Linked DNA regions of Oryctolagus cuniculus. The protein of the gene in region 4 purifies or fractionates together with the protein of the main gene of each other region. This does not show direct contact. Links are inferred from orthologs where the notes say so. Each region holds a gene or a part of one and is shown on either strand. Other genes may lie near its edges. The genes, in order: HNRNPR, ELAVL1, HNRNPAB, DHX9, NXF1, ADAR and HNRNPA0.

What was found.
Region 1: the proteins of DHX9 (region 4) and HNRNPR fractionate together in Homo sapiens (co-fractionation; 3 studies listed by BioGRID and IntAct, with this or other methods). This does not show direct contact. The link is inferred for Oryctolagus cuniculus from reciprocal best matches to the Homo sapiens genes DHX9 and HNRNPR.
Region 2: the proteins of DHX9 (region 4) and ELAVL1 purify together in Homo sapiens (affinity purification with mass spectrometry; 3 studies listed by BioGRID and IntAct, with this or other methods). This does not show direct contact. The link is inferred for Oryctolagus cuniculus from reciprocal best matches to the Homo sapiens genes DHX9 and ELAVL1.
Region 3: the proteins of DHX9 (region 4) and HNRNPAB purify together in Homo sapiens (affinity purification with mass spectrometry; 3 studies listed by BioGRID and IntAct, with this or other methods). This does not show direct contact. The link is inferred for Oryctolagus cuniculus from reciprocal best matches to the Homo sapiens genes DHX9 and HNRNPAB.
Region 5: the proteins of DHX9 (region 4) and NXF1 purify together in Homo sapiens (co-immunoprecipitation; 4 studies listed by BioGRID and IntAct, with this or other methods). This does not show direct contact. The link is inferred for Oryctolagus cuniculus from reciprocal best matches to the Homo sapiens genes DHX9 and NXF1.
Region 6: the proteins of DHX9 (region 4) and ADAR purify together in Homo sapiens (affinity purification with western blotting; 3 studies listed by BioGRID and IntAct, with this or other methods). This does not show direct contact. The link is inferred for Oryctolagus cuniculus from reciprocal best matches to the Homo sapiens genes DHX9 and ADAR.
Region 7: the proteins of DHX9 (region 4) and HNRNPA0 purify together in Homo sapiens (affinity purification with mass spectrometry; 3 studies listed by BioGRID and IntAct, with this or other methods). This does not show direct contact. The link is inferred for Oryctolagus cuniculus from reciprocal best matches to the Homo sapiens genes DHX9 and HNRNPA0.

What each region holds. Positions count from the first base shown.
Region 1 is NC_091438.1:147,606,395-147,609,894, forward strand, and holds part of HNRNPR (heterogeneous nuclear ribonucleoprotein R), read left to right. Parts: intron 1-1,661; coding exon 1,662-1,811; intron 1,812-3,500. UniProt on the Homo sapiens protein: Component of ribonucleosomes, which are complexes of at least 20 other different heterogeneous nuclear ribonucleoproteins (hnRNP). hnRNP play an important role in processing of precursor mRNA in the nucleus.
Region 2 is NW_027208201.1:4,154,569-4,157,956, forward strand, and holds part of ELAVL1 (ELAV-like protein 1), read right to left. Parts: intron 2,439-3,388; coding exon 2,213-2,438; intron 1-2,212. UniProt on the Homo sapiens protein: RNA-binding protein that binds to the 3'-UTR region of mRNAs and increases their stability.
Region 3 is NC_091437.1:63,781,176-63,785,153, reverse strand, and holds the start of HNRNPAB (heterogeneous nuclear ribonucleoprotein A/B), read right to left. Parts: upstream 2,801-3,978; 5' UTR 2,571-2,800; intron 2,483-2,570; 5' UTR 2,460-2,482; coding exon 2,236-2,459; intron 1,577-2,235; coding exon 1,408-1,576; intron 778-1,407; coding exon 619-777; intron 466-618; coding exon 334-465; intron 1-333. UniProt on the Homo sapiens protein: Binds single-stranded RNA. Has a high affinity for G-rich and U-rich regions of hnRNA. Also binds to APOB mRNA transcripts around the RNA editing site.
Region 4 is NC_091444.1:1,076,311-1,079,810, forward strand, and holds part of DHX9 (ATP-dependent RNA helicase A), read left to right. Parts: intron 1-664; coding exon 665-894; intron 895-1,003; coding exon 1,004-1,119; intron 1,120-1,761; coding exon 1,762-1,962; intron 1,963-3,500. UniProt on the Homo sapiens protein: Multifunctional ATP-dependent nucleic acid helicase that unwinds DNA and RNA in a 3' to 5' direction and that plays important roles in many processes, such as DNA replication, transcriptional activation, post-transcriptional RNA regulation, mRNA translation and RNA-mediated gene silencing.
Region 5 is NC_091432.1:8,788,272-8,792,223, reverse strand, and holds the start of NXF1 (nuclear RNA export factor 1), read right to left. Parts: upstream 2,801-3,952; 5' UTR 2,624-2,800; coding exon 2,596-2,623; intron 1,176-2,595; coding exon 992-1,175; intron 796-991; coding exon 642-795; intron 1-641.
Region 6 is NC_091438.1:43,899,367-43,902,866, reverse strand, and holds part of ADAR (double-stranded RNA-specific adenosine deaminase), read right to left. Parts: intron 2,572-3,500; coding exon 2,346-2,571; intron 2,071-2,345; coding exon 1,899-2,070; intron 1,435-1,898; coding exon 1,341-1,434; intron 766-1,340; coding exon 643-765; intron 351-642; coding exon 217-350; intron 1-216. UniProt on the Homo sapiens protein: Catalyzes the hydrolytic deamination of adenosine to inosine in double-stranded RNA (dsRNA) referred to as A-to-I RNA editing.
Region 7 is NC_091437.1:25,591,714-25,595,216, forward strand, and holds HNRNPA0 (heterogeneous nuclear ribonucleoprotein A0), read right to left. Parts: upstream 2,211-3,503; 5' UTR 1,906-2,210; coding exon 1,015-1,905; 3' UTR 501-1,014; downstream 1-500. UniProt on the Homo sapiens protein: mRNA-binding component of ribonucleosomes. Specifically binds AU-rich element (ARE)-containing mRNAs. Involved in post-transcriptional regulation of cytokines mRNAs.

The DNA.
Region 1 (3,500 bases), on a different chromosome or scaffold from region 4:
TCAGCTGCTTTCCCAGTCACATTAGCAAGGAGCTGGATTGGGAGTGGGATGTTGACACTGCAAGTGGTGGCTTAACCTACTGTGCCACGTGCCAGCCCATATTCACACATCTCTATTTGCTTTGTTATTCTGTTTCTCCGCCAAGTGGGAACCCTGTAGAAGCTCCTGCCTTCAGCCTGGTCCAGCTCCAGCCATTGTAGCCATCTGGGAAGTGAACCAGCAGAGGGAAGATTCATTCTGTCTCTCTTTCTCTTTTTCTCTGTGTGTATGTGTCTTCCTCTCTCTGTAACTCTTTCAAATAAATGCATAAATAAATAAATATTTTTAAAAAGTATAAAGTGTTGCCAATAGTGTGGCACAAAGCTTGCTTACCATATTGACTGTAAATTTTTACTCCCATTTCAGAGATACAAAAATGGGGGGAAATGTGTCTTACCGATAGTGTATCCTAGCAATCTCTATATCAGCCCATAGAGCTCATCCTAGTTACTGTGGCTGCATAATATTCCATTCTGTGGGTGTGCCGTAGCACATGCATACTTGCTGGATGTTTCTGTCCCCCCATTTTTTTTTGTTAACAATACTGTAATGAATGAACTTGTACCACATCAGATGATAGAAGTACAAATGTATCTGTAAGATGGATTGTAGGCTGAAGCTAAATGGATCTGTAATTATTAAGATATTACCATATTCTTCTCTGTAGGGGATGTACTGGTATATTCTATCACCAGCACAATATAAGAGGACTGTTTTCCTCATCCTTGACAAAATAGTGTGAGATCACACTTCTGGATTTTGCTGGTCTGATAATATGGTATCTCAATGCTGTTACGACTTGTATTTCTTACTATGTATGAGCTTGAGCTTTTAATGTATTTGGAGGACCATGTGTTTCTTTGTATTAAACCATGGATTCATGAATTTGCTTATTTTTCATTTGTTGGGATTTTTCTTATTTTCTGATGCTTTAATAGAAAAGATTATCTCTGTGATATGTCATTTTCCTTTTGACATTACTTATGGTATTTTTTGCCATATAGAAGGCATTTACTTTTAGTAGTATTACTCTTTTAGATTTACTCTTGTTTTCTGCCAGTATTTTCATAGTCCCCACCTTCCCTTACCATTTACATTTTTAGTCTATTTGGAGCTTATCTTGGTATATAGTGAGGTATGGACCAACTTTTAACTTTTTTCCAGATAAGCACAGTACTAATTCAATTATGTAAATATATAGTTTGTATTTCATAGGGCTAGGCTCTAGATTTCTCATGTGTTGTTCTATTGTTTATTTCATAAGAATTTTAAAGAGTTATCTGGTTCTAGGGAGAGAAAATAGGAAAACTCATTGAAGAGGGAACTTAGATATCCTGTTAAATTTGCGAATTAACTTAGCAATAATCAGTGTTGGTTTCTTGAAGGATCTGTTCCTAGTGTTAAATGCTTTAATGGTAGGGTAGAAGACAGGAACCAACAATTTATGTAAATTGGTGACTAATGTCAGTGTTTTCTTGACAGTTTCTTATACTTCCTGTAATGTTACTTTTAATGCTAATGTTTTGGAGAAGAAAAGCCTGTGCCTGAAGACAGGAAGAAATACTTGAACACTAGCTAAAATTCAGTATCCAGTGCCAATCTTGTATATTTGTTGCTATTAGGTGAAAGTTTTGTTTGTGAGAAATTTGGCTACTACGGTGACAGAAGAAATCTTGGAAAAGTCATTTTCTGAATTTGGAAAACTTGAAAGAGTAAAGAAGTTGAAAGATTATGCATTTGTTCATTTTGAAGACAGAGGAGCAGCTGTTAAGGTAGAAATTTAGAAATTTTACTTCTTGGTACCTGAATTCTGTTGTTGAAATGTGTAAACACATAAAGTAACTTTAAAAACAAATAAAATTGGTTTTTGGCTTTTGCTGAACTTTGGAACTTTCTTTTTAATAATCTCTATAAAGTAGTATAACAAGACTGTATTTCAATGCCAGATTATTACTGTGACTGTGATCTCAGGTAAGTTATTTTTAATCTCTGTTATTGTAAGCCTAACATTTGATAGCATGATGCCATAGAAGTATTATGAGATACAATCATTAGCTGCTGTAAATACTAAACAGGCAGTAACTATATTATAGCTTCTTTCTGAACCTCAGCTCTGTAGACATGTGAAAGAAACCCAGTAGTATAATGACTTTACCATGATATAGTATCTTTTAATTTTGTAGATGTATTTTGAGGGTGTGGCTGGTTCTTTATGTTTTTGCCTTCAGTCTTTTTCTTTCTTCTCTCTCTCTTAATACTTATTCATCTACTTAAAAGGCAGGTCTTTGATCCACTGGTTGACTTCCAAATGCCTGCAACAGAAAAGGCTAGGCCAGGCTGAAGCCAAGAGCCTAGAACTCCATCTCGGTCTCCATGTGTATCAGCAGGAAGCTGGATCAGAAGAGAGCATCCAGGCCTGGAAATATGAGATGAGGGTTTCCTAAGCAGCAGCTTAACCCCCTTTGCTATAGTGCCTGCCCTGCCTTTAAACATTTTAGAGTGAGACTAGTATTAGCTATGTTTCACTGATGTCAGTAATTGTTAAGGGATACTTGTATATAGTAGTTGATTTATTCGTTGATGATAGTAATGAAAGTGTGGGAAAAATGTTTTTGTATGGTTTCTAGCACATAAAACCTGAAGTTTTTTGCTGCTTTTCATTGATGGTGAGTCAGTACCATGCTTAGCAGGTAGAATTTTGATTCTTCTTCCTCCTGTTCATGCCTTCCTTGGGAAGAGAAAGAAGACAAAACACTAATAATCTTTTTTAGGTAATTAGGAAGATGGGTCCAAATTGCTCAGTGATTCAGGCTTGATTGTGGGTTTTTTTTTTTTTTTTTAAATATTATTTATTTGAGAGGTAGAGTTACAGACAGTAAAGGTCTTCCTTCCATTGCTTCATTCCCCAAATGGCCGCAATGGCCGGAGCTGCGCCAGTCCAAAGCCAGGAGCTTCTTCCTGGTCTCCCATGTGGTTGCAGGGGCCCAAGGACTTGGGTCATCTACTACTACTATCCCAGGCCATAGCAGAGAGCTGGATTGGAAGAGGAGCAGCCAGGACTAGAACCGGTGCCCATATGGGATGCGGGCGTCGCAGGCAGAGGATTAACCTACTGCGCCATGGCACCGGCCCCATGCTTGATTGTTTTTCTACAGTTTCTGTCAGTGGGATCCTGCCACTTCTAATATGAGCATTTTGTTTGTTTCTTGCCCAGAAAATAAAACAGACCTTATAGAAGCCTTGACTAGGGTAGAATTAATTTGTTTAATTATTGATGGGAATGAATTAGATAATATTGCTAATAAAATTCATAGTTTAGTACAGAATTGTTTGGCTTCTGAGATGTCTAGTAGTATAGAACTAATAAGCTTGTATAGTACTTTATTATTTATTTTTTTTAAAAAGATGTATTTATTTATTTGAGAGGCAGAGTTACAAACAGAGAGAGGGGGAGAGAGAGA
Region 2 (3,388 bases), on a different chromosome or scaffold from region 4:
TGAAACCAGGAGCCAGGAGCTTCTTTTGGGTCTCCCACATGGGTGCAGGGGCCCAAGGACTTGGGACATCTTCTACTGCTTTCCCAGGCCACAGCAGAGAGCTGGGTCGGAAGAGGAGCAGCTGGGACTAGAACCAGCGCCCATAAGGGATGCTGGCGCTTCAGGCCAGGGCTTTAACCTGCTGTGCCACAGTGCTGGCTCCCCAAATAAATAAATCTTAAAGACACCCAGACTGCAGCTCAGAGTCCAAGGGTGATTTCTGATGCAGGTATGGAGGTGAAGAGTCACAACACAGTTCTGCAGTGATTTCAAAATCACAAGGATGAGGTTAAGGGCTCCAACAGGACATCCGAGTTGAACGACGACTCAGATGGCCACCTGGGATGACGGTGAGACCCCAGTGCCTGTTCACACGGGGCCGCAGAGGACACCCCGGCATCCTCGGGACACTAAGCCCAGCCAGTTTTTAACGACACCTAGAAAAGGTGCCGAACTCATGGACCCAAGTTTTGAGCATCACCTATTTTATTACACAGCTATCGCAATCAGCCCTCCTCTCATTCTGGCCAGTGGCTCTTCCTGCTGCTCCCAAGAGCTGGTTCAGAGCTGACAGCAGCAATGACCCCTTCTCTGACAGTACATAAGGAGATAGGATCCCTCCCTGCTTTGGGAGCTTTTCTAGGAGGACGGGACCTGATGGCCCATTCCACTCCTCTGGGCCTTTCTTCCTTCCCTCATCTTGTCCAGGGATCCCCTGCCACACCTCTATCACTCTGCTACGCCACCAGCTGGCTTCTCCGGGCCCCTGACCGCGGTCAAAGTCCCTCTGCTCCTCCTGCTTTCCTGGTTACTGAGTAACTCACCACCTGCTGCTGCCCACAACCCATCCCATCAGGAGCAGCACTGCTGACCATCTCAATTCTGTGTAAAGCAGCCAGCAGCAGCCCCAGCCTTTGTCTCCACTAGAAAGCCAGGGCAGGTGGGCTGCAGAGTAATGCCCCCCCCCACCCCGGGAACACGCCTCTCCAGACAGCATCTGTGGAGGCGAGCAGGCTCCACCCAGCCTCACTGCACACAAGAGATGGGAAACCTACAAAGTCATGGAGAAAACCCCAATCACACCCGAGAAAAGCCCTCACACCGCTTCTTCAGGTGCTGACAAAGTCAAAAGCAGACACAAAGGCCCCTCAACCAGGTCTTCCTTGTTCCTGCAGCAGTGACAGTCCTAGTGTCAAGTCCAAGTTACTGACTCGGATCTATTCTACCTGACCCGGGAGGCAGGCCCAACTCAGTGCTTCCTCTGGGCTGGGCCCCTGCACCGCACATTTACTACTCAGACCCAAAACGACCCCACAAGGCAGGCGGGGTATGGAGAAGGCCACCGGCTCACACTGCGGCTCCAGCGTCTGGCCTGCATCCCACATCGGCTGAGTTCATTACCCAGCTCCAGCTTCTTACTAATGGGATGTGGTACTTGGTTCCTGGGCCAGGCAAAGCCAGGGGCTCCATTCAGGTCTCTTACATAGGTGCCAGGACCCAAGTACCACATCCCATATGGGAGTGCCTGGTGCAACTGTGGCTGTTGCAGGCATCTGGGCATTAGCAGGAAGCTGGATGGGAAGCAGAGGCCAGACTCAATCCCAGCTATGAGCTATGGGCAAGCGGAGATAAAAGCAGTGGCTTCACCCAGTGTGGCAAGCCTGCCCCTGGAGTGATCTTTCAAACTCACAGCTCCACTTTGATGTTACTGAGAAAGCCATGTTAGCCCCGTATGCTCTCTGCCAGGAGCCAGTGTTATCTTTTTAAATCCAAGGAAAGAGAACAACCCAGGAGAAGTACAGCTGGCCACCTACTTCCAGGGGTTCTGCATCTGCAGACTCAGCCAACTGCGGGTGGATAATATTCAGAGAAAAACCTGCATCTGTGCTAAACACACAGACACCTCTCTTGTTCTAACTCCCCAAACGATACAACCACTGTTTCCACAGCTCTGTGTTGAATTCGGTCTCTAAGTTATCTGGAGAGGGTCTGGCTGCATGAGGGTTCTGTGCAAACATCACACTGCTTTATGGAAGGCACTGTGCATCTGCAGACTCTGGCTTCCACGGGAAGTCCTGGAGCGTGGAGACCTTTCTAACAGCAGGGGCCTGGCGCCCTCAACGCTTCCCACATCGCATTGCGAGGCCACCAGCGCACTGCCCTAGGGACCCACCTGAATCGCTGTGCCTGGTGGTGTACGGGGCCTCCAAACCGTCTGGCAGGTGAGTGGTACAGCTGTGAGAGCAGCGCCACGTTTTTGTTCTGGTTGGGGTTGGCTGCAAACTTCACTGTGATGGGCTCGGAGGAACCTGGGGGTTTATGACCATTGAAACTGGTAATTGCCTCTTCTGCTTCCGACCGTTTGTCAAACCGGATAAACGCAACCCCTCTGGACAAACCTTTTTAACAAACCAACAAAAATGGAGTTAGGGGAAAAAAGGCAAGGAACTTTAAAACTGAAAAGCAAAAGTCAAGTCAGTCTATTATGGTACGAACTGGATGCCTGGTTAAACAAACAAACAAAAACAAACCTAAACATGAAAGCAAATGAACGGGTTAAATTAAAACAAACAAAACTAAATAAACTAATTAAAGTTTCAGACTTTCTCCTGAGTTGAAGCGGTGACTTCACAGTGCCCGTGCCGAGCGGGAGCTTAGCCTCAGAAACCTCAACGAACCCTAACATGAGGCAATTATAACAGGAAGCTGCAGCTGCTGGGCGGGATGGCAGCTGCAGAGCAGTGTCCCTGTGCCACGTACACTTGTAGAGACAGCTCCGTGCTTTTGATGTTGTCCAGTGCTTTTCACAATTAAGATAAAAAAGGCACAATTTCCAGATGAATGAGCAATAAAGTGCACAATGATGATGAATAAAGAAGCAAAGAAATTAAAAACAAAGTTAAGTTTTGTTGGTCCAAGACGTGAAGACTTCTGAAGATAATGTCCGTGGTCTCCTGACCACTAAAATGCATGTCCCCTGGAGGCAAACTCAACATAAACCCATGGCCACATCCTGCCCCACTTTGGGCCTTTGCAGGTCCCAATAAGTGGCAGCCCATTTCCAGCATAGGGCCTCCTGGGAGGTCCATAACCCTGGGGTGCACCTTCCTAGTCTACAATTCTGCACCCTAGGGTGGGGAAGCTGGGCTTTGCAGAGGGAGTCTCAGGGATATCTTCTTGCTGGGCAGAGGTGTGGGTGGAGAGAACACAGGTGCCATGCACCCCTTGGAGGGTTGAGGCTGACCCTGGGGGGCAACAGCGAAGCATCCCAGGACCTAGGGAGACACCACCCTTGCAGAGGCACAGAAGGCTAAGTCCCAGCAAGGGGATAAGGCGAGCAGACTGCAGA
Region 3 (3,978 bases), on a different chromosome or scaffold from region 4:
GCAAGCAAAGATTTGGTCACAAAGAGGAAGAAAAGCTCTGGAGCAGGAAAAACTTGAGAAAAATCAGTCAGTCCCAGAAGATTTCAACTGCAGAGACACCATACACTATCACCTCCGGCTTTAAACCAGACACCCAGAGGCTGCTCAGCGTGCTGTAGAGCCACCCCTTCTCTCCTGCTGCTGTCAACTCTGAATGACCCAACTACCTGCCCCAATCAGGACAGCTCTGTTCACTGTGGTTAAGGCCTGACTAAGCTCTTGGCAGCTCTTGGCAGAAGCCCAACCCCTAACTCACACCTGCAAAGGCCAGCTCACCAAGCTGGGGGCATTTACCTTGCTTCCACTGATGGTATGGAACTTTTTCTCCAGAACCTTCTTCACGGGGTCTTCTTCTTTAAAGGTGATAAAAACAAAACCCCGTCTTTTGTTCGACTTTGGATCCATTGGAAGCTCAATGGCCTCAATCTGTGAAAACAGGCAAGGCTGACCACCATCATCACCTCCCATGCCCCAAGGCATGTGGAGAATTCTTAGGAGAAAAGACCCAGTGACTGCCAGAGGTGAAGAAATCCCTGTGGAGGACTCCAAAACAATGCCATTCTGAAGTCTACAACTCACCTCCCCAAACTCGCCAAAGTACTCCCTGATCTTTTCCTCAGTAGCTTCAGGATTCAGACCCCCCACAAAGATCTTCTTCACTGGGTCCTTCTTCATAGCCATGGCCTTTTTAGGGTCAATGACACGGCCATCCAGCCTGTGCTCCTTCTGATCTAGGACCTGTTCCAACAGAAAAGGGTCAGGTTCTAACTCAGCAGCATGACCCTGGGCAGGGCCCTTTCTGAACCCCAAGGCTCCAGCACATGCCTACAAAGTGACCCCAGGCTGATTGCCCAACATTGTTTTTGCCTCAATTGCATCTGGTTGACCTCAACAGTCCTGACTCCTGTGAACCTCTGCCCATATTGTGTGTGCCCCCCACCTTTGGGGTCCCAGTTTAAAGCCCATCTTCTGCAGAAATAAAATAGCATTAAGGGAACGGAAAGAGTTGCTAGCATCAGAACCAGAGCTCTACCCCTTATTAGCTATGTGATCTCTTCTGCTCAAACTTTTAAGACCTATGTTTTTTCCTTGCAAAACAGAGCTAAGTGCCCACCTCACAGCTATTGTCAGCTGTTTTGTATTCCTCACTACTGCGAGTATAGGTACCCAAAAAATAGCTAGCATTATCTTTTTTCCAAGCCACTCCAGCACACACCCTCCACTATGCCCCCCTTATTCTGTTTCTGTCCCTTCAAAAACATCAAGTTCCTAACTCACCTCTGATTTTTCCACAGCACTCACACAAAGCACCGACCACGTGCCCTTAAGAATTCAAATCACAGACTGCTACCACAGCACTCAGCTTACCTTCTCCACACTGGTTGCGTCTTTGAAGAGGATAAACCCAAATCCTCTTGACCGTCCAGTGTTGGGATCCATTTTTATTGTGCAGTCAACGACCTCTCCAAACTTAGTAAAATAGTCCTTTAAATCTTTTTTGCTGGTATCCCAGCTCAGACCACCAACGAACATTTTCCTGAAATTGTAGAGACACATAGCAGCAAATCTCATAAGAAAGCTGTGATTTTAGGAACGGCCGGTCCTGGCTAAGCGTTCATGCACAGGACTTAGAAAGCCATCGCTCGTGCCCACTCTACACCAGAGCCTCCCTAGTGCGTCTGCCCGCCTTTAAAGGGCGCCGAGGCTCCATGACCAGCCCAACCCAACCCGGCCCCGCACAAAGCCGAACGGGACGCGGCCTCGATCTCGCCGGACGAGCCACCAAGGTGTCCTAGGCGCGCACAGCAAAGGCCCCCGTCCCTCCCCGCCTCCGCCCCGCCACTCGCGGCTTCCTGGGTTCAGCCCGCGGCTCCGCCCCCGGCAGGAGGCGGAGGGAGGCAGGCCCGGCGCGCGCCAACTCCGCCCACGCAGCCGCGCCGCGGCCCTGCGCCCCGCGTCGCCCGGGTCCGAGCGCCCCGCTTCCGGCCGCGCCGCACGCGCCAGCCGCCCAGGGGCGGCGCCAAAGCCGACCGGACAAACTCCGGCCAAGTCCGGGGCGGCGGGCGAGCGCCCGTGGGGCCGGGGCCGGGCCGCGGGGCCGCCCGCCCCTCCCCCCGCCGCGTGGCGCCAACAAAAGGCGGCCCCGGAACAAAGGCGGCGCCCCCCGGCCGCCGCCGCCGCGGCCCGCACACCTACCCCGCGTCCTCCTCATTCTTGCTGGCGTTGATCTGGTCCCCCTCCGCGCCGTTCTGATTCCCACTCGGGGGCGCCGCGGTCCCGCCTCCGGCCCCCGCCGCGGCCCCGCCGCCGCCACTGCCGGCCCCGGTCCCGGCCGGCGACTCGCCTTCGGGGGCGGCCTCGTGTCCGTTCTCGGTGGCGCCCGTGGTCTCCATGGGCTGCTCCTCACCCGCTTCCGACATGTTAGACCGGGTCGCGGCGGCTCCTGCAACGAGCGGCGGCGGCCGCGAGTCAGGCCGGCCGGCCTCCTGCCCGCGCTCCCGCCCGCCGCCCCGCGCGGCCCAGCCGCTCACCTCGCCGCCGATGACGCCGCGAGGCCCACTCGTCCCCCACCCGCCGGGAAAGGCGCCGCGGGCTCGGCCGCGCTCAAGTTCGCGCTGCCGGGGCCTCCCCTCCGTCCGCGACGGAGCAGCAAGAACCGCGTACCCTCGGACGCCGCCGCAAAGAGCCCACCGACCCACACCACGGACCAGGCCCGCGAGGTGCCGCCGCCTGACAATGCCGACTCGTGGCGCTCTTTATAATGCCGGAGCCGGAGCCACCTCGCAACAAAGCGCACGCTCATTGGGTGCACTCGCCCATCACTCAGCCCCTCGGCGCTCGCTCATTGGTCGCTGCCGCGCGCGCGCTCTAGATCCGGGCGGGTCTTTGTCCTCATTTTAGAACCCGCGCGAGCCGGGGCCTTGCGGAGGGTTCTCGGCAGCGGGGCGGCGGGCAGGCCCGAGCCAGACCCTGAGCTCGGCGAGGCCGCATTCCTCTTCCTCGCGCCCCTCTCCCCAGCCCTGGCAGCCATTTGCCTCCCCGTTTCCCAAAAGAGGAAATGGGGCCTGAGGAAGTCTCGCAGCCCAAGGTCGCTCGGGTGTAAGCTGCGGAATCCGGGCTTCCGCGATTGGGCGCCTCGAGTCGTCCAAGCCGCCTCAGCGCGGCTCTGGCGAGATTGGGCCGAGCCCGCCGGCCCCGACCGTGGTGCCCTCAGCGCCGCGCTCCCGCCCTGTGTGCCCCGGGCGAGGACGAAGGGGCCGTGCCTTTCTTCGGTCCCGGTCACCTGCCACCGCCTTGGTTAACGCCGCGTTTACACTTTTGTTTACTAAAAAAAAAAAAAAAAGTGCCCCCTTAGACCCCCTTAGACTCTCTTCGCTGGTACTCGTTTCGACGAAAAATAATCACTCCCATGAGATCGGGCGGGGGCTAGTTCTCTTCGTAATACACAAAGTGATCGCGTTTGCAGCTTCTTGAGCACGGAGCTTGAAAGGCCGGAGTAGTCTCGGGGTTCCTTTTAATCCAGGGGTGGCCCCCAGCCGGCCTCTGGGAACGCGGACCGAGGCTGCATTTCCCGCCGGATTCCGGGGCCGGGCCCGGGGGCTGGGCCTCGTGTCCCCTCCTGGGCTCCAACAACCCTAGGGAGGGTGGTAGGGTCACCGGCACGAGGCCTAGGCCAGTGGCCTGAGATTGCAGTGGGTGGACTCCCGAATCTCCTCCAGCCAATGGGGTTGTCCCGAGGATGAAAACATGTCACAATTCCACATTTTGAAAAGACTATGAATATTGACTTGAGGCTTTTCTGGAAAGATCTGCAGAGTTAGCCACACTGTACAGCCCACCCTGTATTCCACCCCAAGGCCCAGATTAGCCTCTTCACTCCGGAGGTTGGATTCCACGACTGGAATTCACATAGCGCCACAGAGACTTAGGCAGCGCTGC
Region 4 (3,500 bases):
AGATGTTCCGTGCCTTAGAAATAGAGACAGTGGTCCAATTCTTCATCTCTTGATGGGAGCTGGAACCATATACTTTAATTGGCAAAATCTTTACAGTGGTCCTGGGTACAGATATTGTCCCAATTTAAAAGATCATAAAACCAACATAGAAGTTCACAGTTTTAAGCTTTATTCAGTGAGGACATTGTAAGATTTCGTCTCAGGCTGAGCTAGAGCAGAATCTGCGCAGGCCTTGGCGCTCGTGTTTCCAGATGCGGTGCTCATGAACTGTAGTTGGACTTGGACGCGCCTGCCTCCATTCCGGTGGGTGTCCTTTGCTGCGTCTCTCCATCTGCACACGCAGCAGTTTAAGAACAACAAATACATTGACCATTGACCTTGGTCCTGCTGGTCACTCAGAGTAGGTGGCTGGCGAGGGATTGTGTTACAAGTTACCACCCCAAGCCTAGGTTTATGGTTGAATCAGTAAGGGAATACAGACATTTAGTTTTCTGATTATGGAGACTCGGCAAAATTTCCTCTTGAGCTTAATCTGGGTACAAGGCTTCTGAGAAGAAAAAGGCTTCTAGACAGATCAGTTCTTTTATTCTTGTGTAGTTTGCCTGTGATGTGATGATTGGCCATTACCTGATTTTTTTTTTTTTTTAAACCTCATTCCTAACAGATTGTTTGTTGACACAAGTGTTTACTAACACTGGACCAGATAATAACTTGGATGTTGTTATCTCTCTCCTGGCCTTTGGTGTGTATCCCAATGTGTGCTATCACAAGGAAAAGAGAAAGATTCTTACCACCGAAGGGCGCAATGCACTTATCCACAAATCGTCTGTTAATTGTCCTTTTAGCAGCCAAGACATGAAATACCCTTCCCCCTTCTTTGTATTTGGTGAAAAGGTAAGAAAAGTTCACATCAGAACGTAAGTTTTGGGTTTCTTTAGGCCTAGTTTATATTATTAGACAGTTAATGTAACCTGTTTACTCTTGCCATTCTCTCCATCTGCAGATTCGAACCCGCGCCATCTCTGCTAAAGGCATGACTTTAGTCACTCCCCTGCAGTTGCTTCTTTTTGCCTCCAAGAAAGTCCAATCTGATGGTCAGATTGTGCTGGTAGATGACTGGTATGAACTTTTGCATGTGAACTCTTAGATTAGCATCTTTTTTTTTTTTTTTTTAAGATATATTTATTTAAAAGGCAGAGTTATGCAGAGGCAGAGAGAGAGGTCTTCCATCTGCTGGTTCACTCCCTAAATGCAAGAAACAACAGAGCTGGGCCAGTCTACAGCTAGGAGCCAGGAGCTTCTTCCAGGTCAGGATCCTACGTGGGTGCAGGGGACCAAGCACTTGGGCCATCTTATACTGCTTTCCCAGGCCGTAGCAGAGAACTGGATTGGAAATGGACCAACTGGGGCCCATATGGGATGCTGACACTGCAGGTGGTGGCTTTACCTGCTACACCACGGCACTGGCCCCCAGCCTCATTCTTAAAAACCTAAAAAGCTCCAGTGTGGAGTCTTTCATTCTTAGTGGAAACTGCGTGGTCTGCATTGCAGGCAGTTTTTGGCTTGATGGTTTTATGGTTTACAATTCCTGCAGATAGGTAGCAGTGAATTTTAAAAGGTTAGTGCGGGTAGTTGTTCTTTGTACCCCTGTCTGCCTGAGTCTGGGCTGCTGTAGTAGCTTAACAATATGGTGCTTGCCATATTGGCAGTTTTCTGTTACCTACTTCCTTTCTTATTTTGTATTGCTTTTCTCCATTTTAGGATCAGACTGCAAATAAGCCATGAAGCTGCTGCCTGCATCACTGCTCTGCGGGCTGCAGTGGAGGCTCTTGTTGTTGAAGTGACCAAGCAGCCCAGTATCATCAGCCAGCTGGACCCTGCCAATGAGCACATGCTGAACACCATCCGCCAGATCTCCAGGCCCTCAGCTGCTGGCATCAACCTGATGGTTGGCAGTACACGGTAAGTACCAGGGTCACAACTGGTGGTGCCGAGCCAGAGGCTTTGTCATCTCACAGAGGCCTAGAGTTAGTTGATAGTGGAGTTATTTAACTTGAATTTCTAGAGAAACACTAAATGTGGGATTTAATTCTGGGCAACACATTCAGAATGAAAGGTTGTTACTTTGCTTCTGTGTTGTAGTGCGTCCACTTTGTCGGTGTAGGTAGAGTCAGATGGGGCCCTTGAAAGTGCAGAGGCTATCCAGGGAGCCACATGATGGAATGTAACAACAGCCCGATGGTCCTTTCTTCCTCCTCACTGTTCTGACCTCCCTACAGAGGAACTTGGTGAACCCTTCAGTCTCCCACAGATGAGAAGTATCAGTGTTTACCTTAGGAAAATAGTATAGTATAGTCTTAAATGTGACGTTTCTCTTCAGTTTTAAAATGCTTTTTTCATTTTTCAATAGCTTTTTGTCTGGGATTATTTGATACCTACAAGAAAGGCAGAATAGTACAACATACACCCATACAGTCTTCATTTAAGTTCACTTACTTACCTTCAGTGTTTTGTGCCATTTGTATAATCATTTGTGATAAATTTGCAACTTCAGGAAATTTTGTGTCAGAATTTCTTTTGTCTAACAACATGGCCACAACATCATGGACCCATCTCAATTGAGAAGTATTATATTAATAATTTAAGTTACAAATGTTTGTTAAATACCATTATCCAAAACGTCTCTCTACTCTTCTTATCATAGATAACTTACTACATTTGGTTATAAATGCTTTTTTTTTTTTTTTTTTTTTTTTTTTAATTTATTTGACAGGGAGAGACAGAGATCTTCCATTTGCTAGTTCATTCCCCAAATGGCCACAACAGCTGGAGCTAGACCAATCTGAAGTCAGGAGCCAGGAGCTACTTTCAGGTCTCCCACATGGCCTCAGGTCCCAAGCACTTGGGCCATCTTCTACTGCTCTCCCAGGCCATAGCAGAGAGCTGGATCAAAAGTGGAGCGGCCAGGACTCAAATCAGTGCCCATATTGGATGGCAGTGCCACAGACAGAGACTTAACCTACTACGCCACAGTGCCAGCCCTGTAAATGCCTTTTTATTTTTTTTAGAAAGCTTTTGTTTAATAATTATAAATTTCATAGATAACAGCTTTTGGAATATAGCAGCTCCCCCCCCATACCCGCTCTCCCACCCCCACTCCCATCCCACCTCTTACTCCCGTTCCCATCCCATTCTTCATTAAGATTTTTAATTATCTTTATATACAGAAGATCAGCTCTATACTAAGATTTCAACACTTTGCACCCACAAAGTACTGTTTGAAGACAAGTTTTGCCATTAATTCTCATTGTACAATTCATCAAGGAGAGAGATCCTACATGGGGAGCAACTGCACAGTGATCCCTGTTGTTGATTTAACAGTTGACACTCTTATTTATGACGTCAGTGATCACCTGAGGCCCTGGTCGTGAGCTGCCAAAGGCTATGGAAGCCATTTGAGTCCACAAACTGTCATCATTTAGACGGCCATAATCAAAGTG
Region 5 (3,952 bases), on a different chromosome or scaffold from region 4:
CTGTACCCTCAGAACTTCAGGGAGTCCAAACCCCATATTCAGCCTCAGCCAATTGGAGACATCCAGAGGAGCTCCTCTGCCTTCTGACTACAGTTACATCTCCCTTCTGTCCCATTCTACCTACTCCCTGCCTTGCCTTCTCTGAACCTGTTCTAAAGTGTTCTAAGATACTGACCCTTAAGAGAAAGGATGGGGGCTGGCGCTATGGCGCAGCAGGTTAAAGCCCTGGCCTGAAGCGCTGGCATCCCATATGGGTACCAGTCCTAGTCCCTGCTGCTCCTCTTCTGATCCAGCTCTCTGATATGGCCTGGGGAAGCAGAAGATGGTCCAAGTCCTTGGGCCACTGTAGCCGAGTGGGAGACCTGGAGGAAGTTCCTGGCTTCCGATCGGCGCAGCTCCGGCCGTTGTGGCCATCTGGAGAGTGAACCAACGGATGGAAGACCTCTCTCTCTGTCTCTACCTCTCTCTGTAACTCTTTCAAATAAATAAAATAAAATATTTAAAAAGAGAGAGAGAGAAAGGAAGGACACCTGATTGTGCAGTAAAGGGCCAAGAAAACAGATTTTTGTGGAATAACAAACACCTGTACTCTGAGCAAGGTCCCCCTGTCCCTGTACCGCTTTGTTTCCCACAGTACTCACCGTAATCTTGAACCAGTTTTTGGAGGTCCCATCCTGGCTGGTGCCGGCCCCTCCTCGCTCTAAAGGAGCTCTGTCTCTCCGCACAGTAACATGAATACGCTCTCGACCATGCCAAGTGTCGCCCCGGCGGTTGGGTCGGGCAGCATAGGGGGTGCTGTGAGGAGGCAGAGCAAAATGTCCATATGTGCTACCAAAGTTTTCTCAAAGACTGTCCCCGCACTGTACAGGACCATTTAAACTGGTCCTGGCATTTCTTATTCTTCCAGGTGGGAAGAGAAATGACATGGCCACTAAGAGGGCTATATAATCTAGGGGGTCACTAATATAACCCAGACGAACTGGTCACTTACTATCGTACTCGGGGACCATCCTGGGCGTCACTCATTGCTACATCTCCATCATCCTCCTCAAGCCGGGAAGACCGGATACCAGAACCACCTCTTCCAGAGCGACGGTTACTCTCACCATACTTCCACCGGAAAGGACCCCGGCCTTTCTTTCTTCTTTGAGGGAAACTAACACGGTCATCGTACTCTACGGTTAGAAACAGGCACACGAATTATTAACACCACTGCTCCCAGCACCTCCATATGGCAATCACAGTGCCTCACTGTTGGGAGAGAACATAAGAACCACAGGGGCCACCTCCAGAAAACCGTGGATGACATCATCAGGGAAAAGTTATTGGGAGACTGTGCAGGGCTTTTGAAAAACGAAGCAGAAACCAGAACTACAGAGAAGAGAACCAGAATGGAGAAGTGTGGCCAACCCAAAAGTGTAACTGCCCACAAGTCAGACTCCTGAAAACCACCTGAATTCTGCCACTCAGTTATGTACCTATACCGCTTGAATGAAAGTTACAACAGGATCAACTGAAAGGGCTCTCTAAAATAACTCCACGTTCTTAAACTGCCACTCTGAAAGTTCTGAGATGCTCCGTTTCCTTGGCCAGAAAAGCCCTTTAAAAGCTCAGGAGACCGGGCCTGGACTCAGGCACCAGAGAAGCAGCCCCACCCTAGGCTGCTCAATGAAAGGTCCCCAGATGCTCTCTAGATAAACATAACCTACTAACTCCGTAGGAACGGCTCCTTTAAAAATGGTCCATGACTTCCAAAGAAAAACGCATCTACCTAGTGCCCGGTACTCTGTAAATAATGAGCCCCAACAGATAACCCCGGCCAAGCAGAATACATGAACAGAGGGTACGGTGAACACTCACTGAAGGCACTCTCCTGTGCCGGGCACTGTGCTACCAGCACCTGGTATGTAATGATCTCACGGTCTGTCTGTCTCATACACACACAGTCTCTCTTCTCTCTTACACACACACAGAGGAAACAGGTAGTTACTTTCCACACTAAGGGGTTTGGGAAAGAGGCCTGAGAGTTTAACTCCCTCCAGCTTGCTGTAGACAACCCAGGTTTCAAAACTCGGCTGCCGGGCCCTCCAAACCACTATAATGGACTCACAGCCGGTAGGGTGTCGGGACCAAAACATCCAGTTGGTGTGTCGGTCTCAACTATTAAGCCAAAGCCACAGGCCAGAAGGCAAGGCCGACTGGACGCGGTAAGAAAAAAAAAAACAACAACAACAAAACCAGGGCACCAGGGCAGCCCACTGAGTCACATTAAAGGAAGAGTCGGGCCGCCAAACTGAACTGACAGGCACCAGCCACTCTCAAAGTTCAAAGGAAATCCCGTCAACCCACCCGAGCCGCCCGCTCCGAGCCGCAGGTCCTCCCAACGCCAGTGCCCCGGAGTCCTGTCAACTCGCGCGCCCACCTCGAGTCCGGCCGGCCCCCCGGGGACCGCCTTGCCCCCACCCGCCCCGCGCTGCCGCCGCTCCCCTCGGACGCCGGACCCCTCGCGGCCTCTCGCCCCGAGCTGCGGCCTAGGCCGGCGCCGCCCACCCGGGCCCCAGATCGTCCGCTCCACACACGAGATCCAGCACTGACCGTTGTACGACTTCCCCTCATCCGCCATCGCACAGCAAAGAACAGAGGCTGGCTTAGGCGCCGGCCACGACGCCACCAAACGTCCAAACGCCCAAGCGCTCAAGACCCAAGCGCTCTTACGCGGGGCGCCACCGCATTTATCCGGCGAAGCACGTCGCGCGCCAGCGACGTCCGCAGGCTGTGGGCGGTGCCTCAGGGAGGGCGCGCCCCCCTGCGCGTGCGCACACGCAAGGCTGCCGCGCGGGGCGGGCCCCGCCCCCTCCAGGCCCCGCCTCGGAGCTGAGCCCGCGGGTGCCCGGCTCGCTGCCGGCTAGTCCGTCCGTCACCCGCCACCTTTTCATCAGCTCTCCCAGGCAGCTGTGGCAGTTCTTTAGCTTTGCAACAGCGAGCGGGCTGCTGGAGCTCAGAACTTAGGGAAAGGGGCCGCACGGAGAGCCTTCGAGAAATGGAACCCCGCTTCGGCGCTCCCCTCAGCAGGATGCTGGTAGTATTTGTTTTCCTCTTTGCCGGCTTCAGGTCAATGCCTCGCTTTCCTCGTCTATTACATGGATTAATAATAACGAAATAAGGGCCGGCGCTGTGGCGTTGTAGGTTAAGCGCCCGCGGCGCCGGCATTCCCATATGGGCAACGGTTGGAGTCCTGGCTATTCCACTTACAATCCAGCTCCCTGCTGATGGCCTGGGAAAGCAGAGGATGGCCCCAGTGCTTGGGCCCCTACAACTACGTGGGAGACCAGGAAGAAGCTCCTGGCTTCTGATCGGCCCTGCTCTGGACTTTGGGGCCATTTGGGGAGTGAACCAACAGACAGAAGACCTCTTACTCCGCCTCTCAAAAAAAAAAAAAAAAAAAAAAAAAAAGGAAAGACGAAATGGAAAACCACAGTGTAAACTCCGTGGGAGCAGAAACCCCAATCCATGGCTTTCTTCCAGCTCCTGGCTCAGTATCATGACTGGAACATCAAACAAATGCGTTCTGTTCTGTGTCCTTTCTCTTTCGAAGAACGACGAGGAGTCAAGTGAGGCCGCGTGTGTAAAGCTTTGAGCGAGCATTCATCATCAAAGACCTCCCCACCCAGACGTGGAGCTAGAGCCCATCCCGTGTCAGCTGAGCAGCCAGCGTGACCAGCTGTGGTAGGCCACTGGCTGAGGGATGCCAAGGAGAGGGAACTTCAAAATGCCAGGGCCAGGACAAGCGCTGTGGCAAAGTGGCTTAAGCTGCCCCCTGTGACACCAACATCCCATATGGGCACTGGTTTGTGTGCGGGTTGCTCTACTTACAATCCAGTTCCCTACTAACATGCCTGGGAAACAGTGGAAGATGGCCCAGGAACCTGGACCCTGCCACCCATGTGGCAGT
Region 6 (3,500 bases), on a different chromosome or scaffold from region 4:
GAGGAGCACTCCCGTGAGTTTATTGCCAGGCTGAGCTCCAGGTTGGTACCTCCACCTCCTGTATGCTTGGGAGATCCTCTGAAAGAACAAATTCAGAGTGGAGCCTTGATCTTCCCTTCCCCGTCCACCCCGCCTTGGGGCCCAGTGACGAACAGCGAAGACCTGGCAGTCTCACAGAGCCTCCCGTGGGACGCGTGAGGGTCACGTGGCACTCACCATTCTCTACCTTGGTGCGTAGCTTGCCTTGCTTGGGATTCTCGAAGACCGGGTAGTGGCGAGAATCTGTACTCTCCACATTACGGTCACTGCAGGACTTGTCAAAGAGCGCGCCATCTCCACAGGGAGCAGTGCTGCAGGAGAAGCGGGGCCTCTGTTACAGCTCACCCGGAAACAACCGCCCTCCATTTCCGGGGGCTCCCAGACCAGCTGGCAGAAACAAGGGACATTTCCTGAAGCCCACCCCGTGAGCCTGGAGGTGGCAGCGGCGTCTGTGAGAATGGCTGCACCCAGGGCACACAGTGCACACGCCATGCGGGGTGCTCTATCGTGTGAGGCCTGACCGGGGAGCCAGGGACGTGTTAGGATACTCAGTCCTGGGAGCTTGGCAGGGCGCGCTCTGACAGCAACAGAGACCATACAGACCTGATATAGAGATGAAATGAAACAGTCTTTTTTATCTGGAGCTTTTCTCCTCCCCTAGCAGGCTCAAATATACTTTCCTTCGCAGTCTGGGGGTTGTACTTCATTAACTCGCTGTAGAGAAACCTACGGAAACAAAGCCTGGTTAGAAAGATAGGTTTGATTCTGGCAAGAGCAGTTGCTTCTAAGAGCTGGCCCTACATGACCCCCAGGTAAGCAGAAACCCTAAGAACACAGCCCGGCACCAGCTTCCGGTGGCAAGAGGCGCTGGGAACCCTGCCTGCGAGGCCCCAGTGCGCCTACGGCAGAGCCAGCCTTCTGGCTCAGTCTCAGTTCTGCTGAGGGCTCCTCTCTATGGTGGCCACAGGGATTCTGGGGCGGGACAAATGGACTCCAGGGGAACAGGAGGCTGCTGCTTCCCCCCGAGCCTGTCCCTTCGTGAATGAAAGAGCAGGTGAAGCGGAGAAGGCTGCCGGGGCACGCAGGTCTTCAAACGCAGAAGGAAGGCGGCCGCAGCCTCAAGGCCCGGAGGACTGAGAGTCACTTTGCGTTTTTCACAACAGGCACGAAGCAGCAGCAGCAGCAAGGAGAGCCCTGACAACAGGCTGGGCAGCAGGACGCAGGCGACGGGTGCCGTGAGCCCTGGGACAGCTGGGCGGCAGGCCCGCCCCAGCCACCTGTCAGCACGGGCGCCCGCTCACCTGATGAAGCCTCTCCGGGAGATGATTTCGGCGTGGCAGTCATTGACCGTCTCTCCCTTCAGGCTGAGAGAGTCTCCTTTCACACAGCGATTCCCTGGGGGCATGTTGGAACCAGCAATGGAATCATCAAAGGCAAAAACCACGGGGGACAGGGATGTGTCCTCACAGCTGAAAGCAGAAGCAGCCTCGGGCCACCAGACCCTTGCCGCCCACCTGGTGCCCCCTAGGAACTCAGCACCCACTCTGCGCTGGCTGTGGTGAGAATGAATGCGAGTTGAGCACCTCTAATTGGAAATGCTTGGGCCCGGAGGTGTCAGATCCCAGAGGTTGGATAGTTTTGATTTTTGCAGTAGAATCCCTAACCTGAAAATCTGAACTCCAGTACACATTAGGTTGGTGCTCAGAGGTTCAGAGTTGAGCACTCTGGATTTGGGGCTTCTAGACTGGAGATGCCTGACCTCCGTTAGCAGTCTTTTCTCCCTGCCTTGGACACACCCATGTGGACTGCAGGAGACCAGGAGGACCCACTTCCGGGCACTCAGGGAAGCCCTCACTTACCAGTCCCCAAGCTGACGACGACGCCCATGTCATCGGAGTCCTTCTTCATAATGATGGCAGCCAGGATCTTGCGGCCCAGCAGGGAGGGCTGGAAACTGTTGGTGAGAGCGTTGAAGCACCGGTGACTCAGCATGGCGATCTGGTCGTGGAACGTGCTGCCGGTGAGAGGAAGCTGTGGGGACAGGAGGCTGTGTCAGGACCTGGCAGCCATGTCTGCGTCCACCATGCTTCATGGCGGCCAGGGACATCGATCGTGTTCTGCTCGCCTCGGGAGTCACCTTTCCCCTCACACCAAGAGTCCCACTTATATGTTCAATTAGGGCTCACATTAAAGCCTAGGAATAACTCACACGATGCAGCAAGTTAAGTGCCAGCTCCACCCAGGGAGGAGTCAGCAGAACCCCCTCCCCCCACAAGAAAGAGAGCACCAAAAGTAGACGTCTTAACTGTCTTTGGCTGTGCCTCTGGGGACCTGGAGAGGAGGAGCATAGTTCTTCTGAGACTGGCCCCTGTCACTGGGGTTACCTCTGTGAAACCCATGCGTTCTGCCTTCTCGTTCTCCCCAATCAAGACACGGAGAGCCGCATCTGCTGCTTCCTGTTTGCCTTGCTTCTTGCTGTGTGCGCAGACGGCTGGGAACCAGCGACCTCCAACTTTTGCTTGGTAAACAAACCTTTGCATGAGAAGTGGGGATAAAGACAAACATTAGATATTGACAGCTCTTCCAGGGAGGTTTCATTCTGCTTACGATGTGGCCAGACCTGCAGACACAAGGGCCCCTTAACAGCGGTTTCTAAGGCAGAATTTCCCAGATTATGGTCATTCATGGATCATGACATGATTGTTGTTAGATCCAGGTCGTTCCCCAAACTGACTTTCTAAAAATGCAAACGTACTTCATCATCACTGTAAATGAAAAAAGCAGTGTTACTTGCCCTAAGTTGAAGGTGGTTACACAACTGCATGTGATAAACTCAACTCACTAACTTCTGAGCAGGCACTGTGCTATCACCTACAAAGGCCTGGGCCTGTCTCCTTCATTTTTTTTTTTTTTTTTTTTTTTTTTTGACAGGCAGAGTGGACAGTGAGAGAGAGAGACAGAGAGAGAAAGGTCTTCCTTTGCCGTTGGTTCACCCTCCAATGGCCGCCGCTGCAGCCGGCGCACCGCGCTGATCCTGGCAGGAGCCAGGAGCCAGGTGCTTTTCCTGGTCTCCCATGGGGTGCAGGGCCCAAGCACCTGGGCCATCCTCCACTGCACTCCCTGGCCATAGCAGAGAGCTGGCCTGGAAGAGGGGCAACCGGGACAGAATCCGGCGCCCCAACCGGGACTAGAACCCGGTGTGCCGGCGCCGCAAGGTGGAGGATTAGCCTATTGAGCCACGGCGCCGGCCCACTGTCTCCTTCATTTTAAAGATCTATTTTTATTTATTTGAAAGGCATAGTTAGAGAGAAGGAGAGAGAGGGAGAAACAGACAGAGACAGCTTCCATCCGCTGGCTCACTCCCCTAATGGTCACAATGTCCAGGGCTGGGCCAAATATAGGAGCCAGAAGCTTCTTTCAGGTCTCCCACGTGGGTGGCAGGGGCCCAAGGACTCAGGCAG
Region 7 (3,503 bases), on a different chromosome or scaffold from region 4:
AAGGATTAAACCTGCTCAGAAAATACAAAAACGCATTTAGTGTGAGGGTAAAACATAACCCTTATTTGTAACCATTCATTAAACACAAATCAGTAAGAGGGATGAAACTCAGCCATCTGAAAAATTTTAAACAGTTTGTATGAATGAGAACACATGCGTAACACAAACTACTTCTTTAGAACTACACAGTACATACTTTGAAGTAAAGTCTCATAGAAAGAAGTGACCAACTATGTCAAGATGCTAAGTAAATCACTCAGTACAAGCGATGGATGCACATAAATTAAGATTTTAAAGAGTCACATCCACCACTTCAAGTTTTGCCTGAAAGGGATAAACTTCAACATGTCACTAGCAGAGCAACGGGGGAGGATAAAAACACAGAACCTCTGAAAAGCTTTTCTAAGTACACATCCAGAATTACACACACACAAAATCTTAAAACCAATATCCCTTAAATAGGTACGGAATGGATCCTAGAAAAAAAAATGTTAGACATGTACGGTCAAACACAATGATTTATTAAAAATAAAACGTAAAAATGATTTTTGTACATATGCTTCCAAATTTCAGGCATGGGATCCAAGTAGATCATAGAAAACGCTGTAGCCAGGTATCAAGTCCTTACAACAAAGTAAACTACTCCCCCTCCCAAACACCCGCCCGGGTTTTGCTACAGAATGAGCAAATTCACTCCCTCCCCCCCAAAAAACACAAATTAAAACAAGACATCTTGCTAGTATAAAAACGACCAAGTTCCAAGTAATAATAAAAAAATAGAGTCCATCAATGACTGTAACACAAAAATGTAGGGGGGGGGGTCTAGTCCATCTTCAGAGGGAGGGTCGAGAGGTGCCAGGTAAACAGGGGGACACTCCCAAGGGTAAGCAGCCTCAGCGGCTCCCCCAAGGGCAAAATGGGGAAGGCGGTGGAGGAGTACGGGCCTCAGGAGTGGACCCCACTCGGCATGTTTCAGGGCCGCCCCTGCAGCCGCTCCCAGGCATTTCCAGCTTCTCAGAAGGAGCCGCCTCCGTAGCCGCCCCCACCGCCGTAGCCGCCTCTGTAAGGTCCGCTGTTACTGCGACCGCCCCAGCCGCCGCCGCCGCTCTTCATGGGCCCGTACGAAGACTGGTGCTGGCTGTAGCTGCCGAAGCCGCCGAAGCCGTTACCGTAGTCGCTGCCCCCGTACGACGAGCCGCCCCCGCCGCCGCCGTAGCCCCCGTAGCCGCCCCCGCCGTAGCCCCCGTAGCTGTTGTAGCCGCCGCCGCCGCCCTTGGCCAGGCCGTTCTGGTCTCGCCCCCCGCCGCGCCCCCGGCCGCCCCGGCCGCCCCGGGACGACCGGGAGCCGCCGCCGCCCCCGCCGGAGTGGATGTCCTCCTTGGGGACGGCCTTCTTCACCTCCACGCGATGGCCCTGGATGGGATGGAACTTGACCACCGCGGCCTTATCCGCCGCGTCGTGGTTCTGAAAATACACGAAGCCGAAGCCGCGCTTCTTGCCCGACTGCTTGTCGGCGATGATCTCGGCCTTTTCCACGGCGCCGAACTGCGAGAAGTGCTCGATCAGGTCGCCCTCGGCCACGTCTCCCTTCAGGCCCCCGACAAAGAGCTTCTTCACCTTGGCGTGGGCACCGGGCCGCGCCGAATCCTCGCGGGACACGGCCCGCTTCAGCTCCACCGTGTTGCCGTCCACGGCATGCGGCGACGCGGCCATGGCGGCATCCGCCTCCTCCACATTCGAGTAGGTCACGAAGCCAAAGCACCGGGAGCGCTTCGTCTGGGGGTTCACCACCACCACGCAGTCCGTCAAGGTCCCAAAGGCCTCGAAGTGGCCGCGCAGGCCCGACTCACTCGTCTGCACGTTGAGGCCACCGATGAAGAGCTTACACAGCTGGGAATTCTCCATCTCCACGGCCCGGGCCTTGCCCCCGCCCCGCGAGCCCCGAGGTTTCGCCGTCGCCGTTATCTGTCGCCGAGGCTTCTTCACAACTGGGGCCCAGCCGTCGCTGGAGCCGCCCCCGCCGGACACCGGCGGGGAAGGGGAGGGGAGGGGAGGGAAGGAGAAGAGGAGGGGGAGGGAGGGGAGCGGTGCGGGCGAGGAGGGCGCGCCGGGGAGACGGGCGAGCACCCAAGGCCGCCCCTGCCGCCACCGCCGCCACCTCCGCTCCCCTATCTGGGCACCACACAAAGAGGCCGCTGAACGCGCGCGTACCCTCCCCGCGGCGTGCGTCACCACCGACGCACGGTAGCCTAGGGCCGCCCGCCAATCCCCGCCTCGCTCCTCTTGGTCCCGCCTACCGCGCCGCAGCGCCGGGCTCAACCACAGACTCCGCGCCCGCCGCGGTCTATTCAAGCCCTCGGCCCCGGCGGGCGCGCCCACGCCTGCTGCTGTCCATCTGTCACTGCCGGGCGCCTCGGCGCGCCCTGGCAACGGACCTGCCCTGCCCTCCGCGACCCTCCGCAGTTCATTTCCGAGCAGCCCCCGGCTGTTCCCAGTGACTCTCCCCCTCCCCTTCCCCTATCCCCTCGCCCCGCTCCGCAGTGGCGTTCGCGCCAGCCCCTTGAGAGGCGTGTGAGTGCAGCCAATCGCCGCAACCCCACGCACCCACTTCCGTTCTCGGCAGCTGCTGGACGGGCGCGCCCCCAGTGCGCGCTTGCCCGGGCGCCCCCGGAGTGCGGGGCGGCCGCCACCTGCACGCCTCCTCCCGCTCCGGGCTGGGCGGGGCATGGGCTGGGGGCCTCGCTGGGGGCCGTTCCCAACGGCTACTGCCTGGGGCGCCACGCGCGGGCGCTTTGAAAACTTAACTGCTGGGGTTCGGGGCCGGGGTTTACCCGCCGCGTCTCGGCCGGGCGGCTACACCTGGCGGCCACGCCCCTCCTCTCGCCCCCGTAAAGATGGAGGGCGGAGGACCGGTCCAGGGAGGCGGTTGGTAACGGTTACCAGTGGGCCGGGCGCGTGGCTGAACCAAAACTTGAACACGTGGCGTAGTAATGCGCAAAAGCGAGTCCGAGGCGGTGTGAAAGATAACAGGGTGCGAAAACCTCACGCCGAGGCGGGGCTCCGCCACATCTAACGTCCCACCCGCTCCGCACACTCCTGCAGACATTTTCACTTACCTCAGGATACACTCATAACTTAAGTCATCTGTGCGCTGCCCCCTTCCAACTCACGTTTTGGCTTTTTCCAGACGTTTTATATCAAACCAAGAATAGCTGAGCATTGTATTCGCAAAGAGCCCGTCTGCACACCTGATGCCTGCCTTTAAGTGCCCTCCGCAGGCCAAAACTTTGAACTGTTTGAACCTTTGTGGCCAAACAAGATGCCTAGACTGGGACGTGGCACTAGGACACCAAGAGCCTCCCAAACCAGGTGGTTATTACTGAAGAAGCTCAGAGTGATTCCTCGCTGTTTCCTCGAGTATTGGGGAAGGATTTGGGAAAGAGGTTAAAGTTGTACTGGATCTGGGAGACGAAGACTAGATAAGATTTCTGCAGGAAACTTGC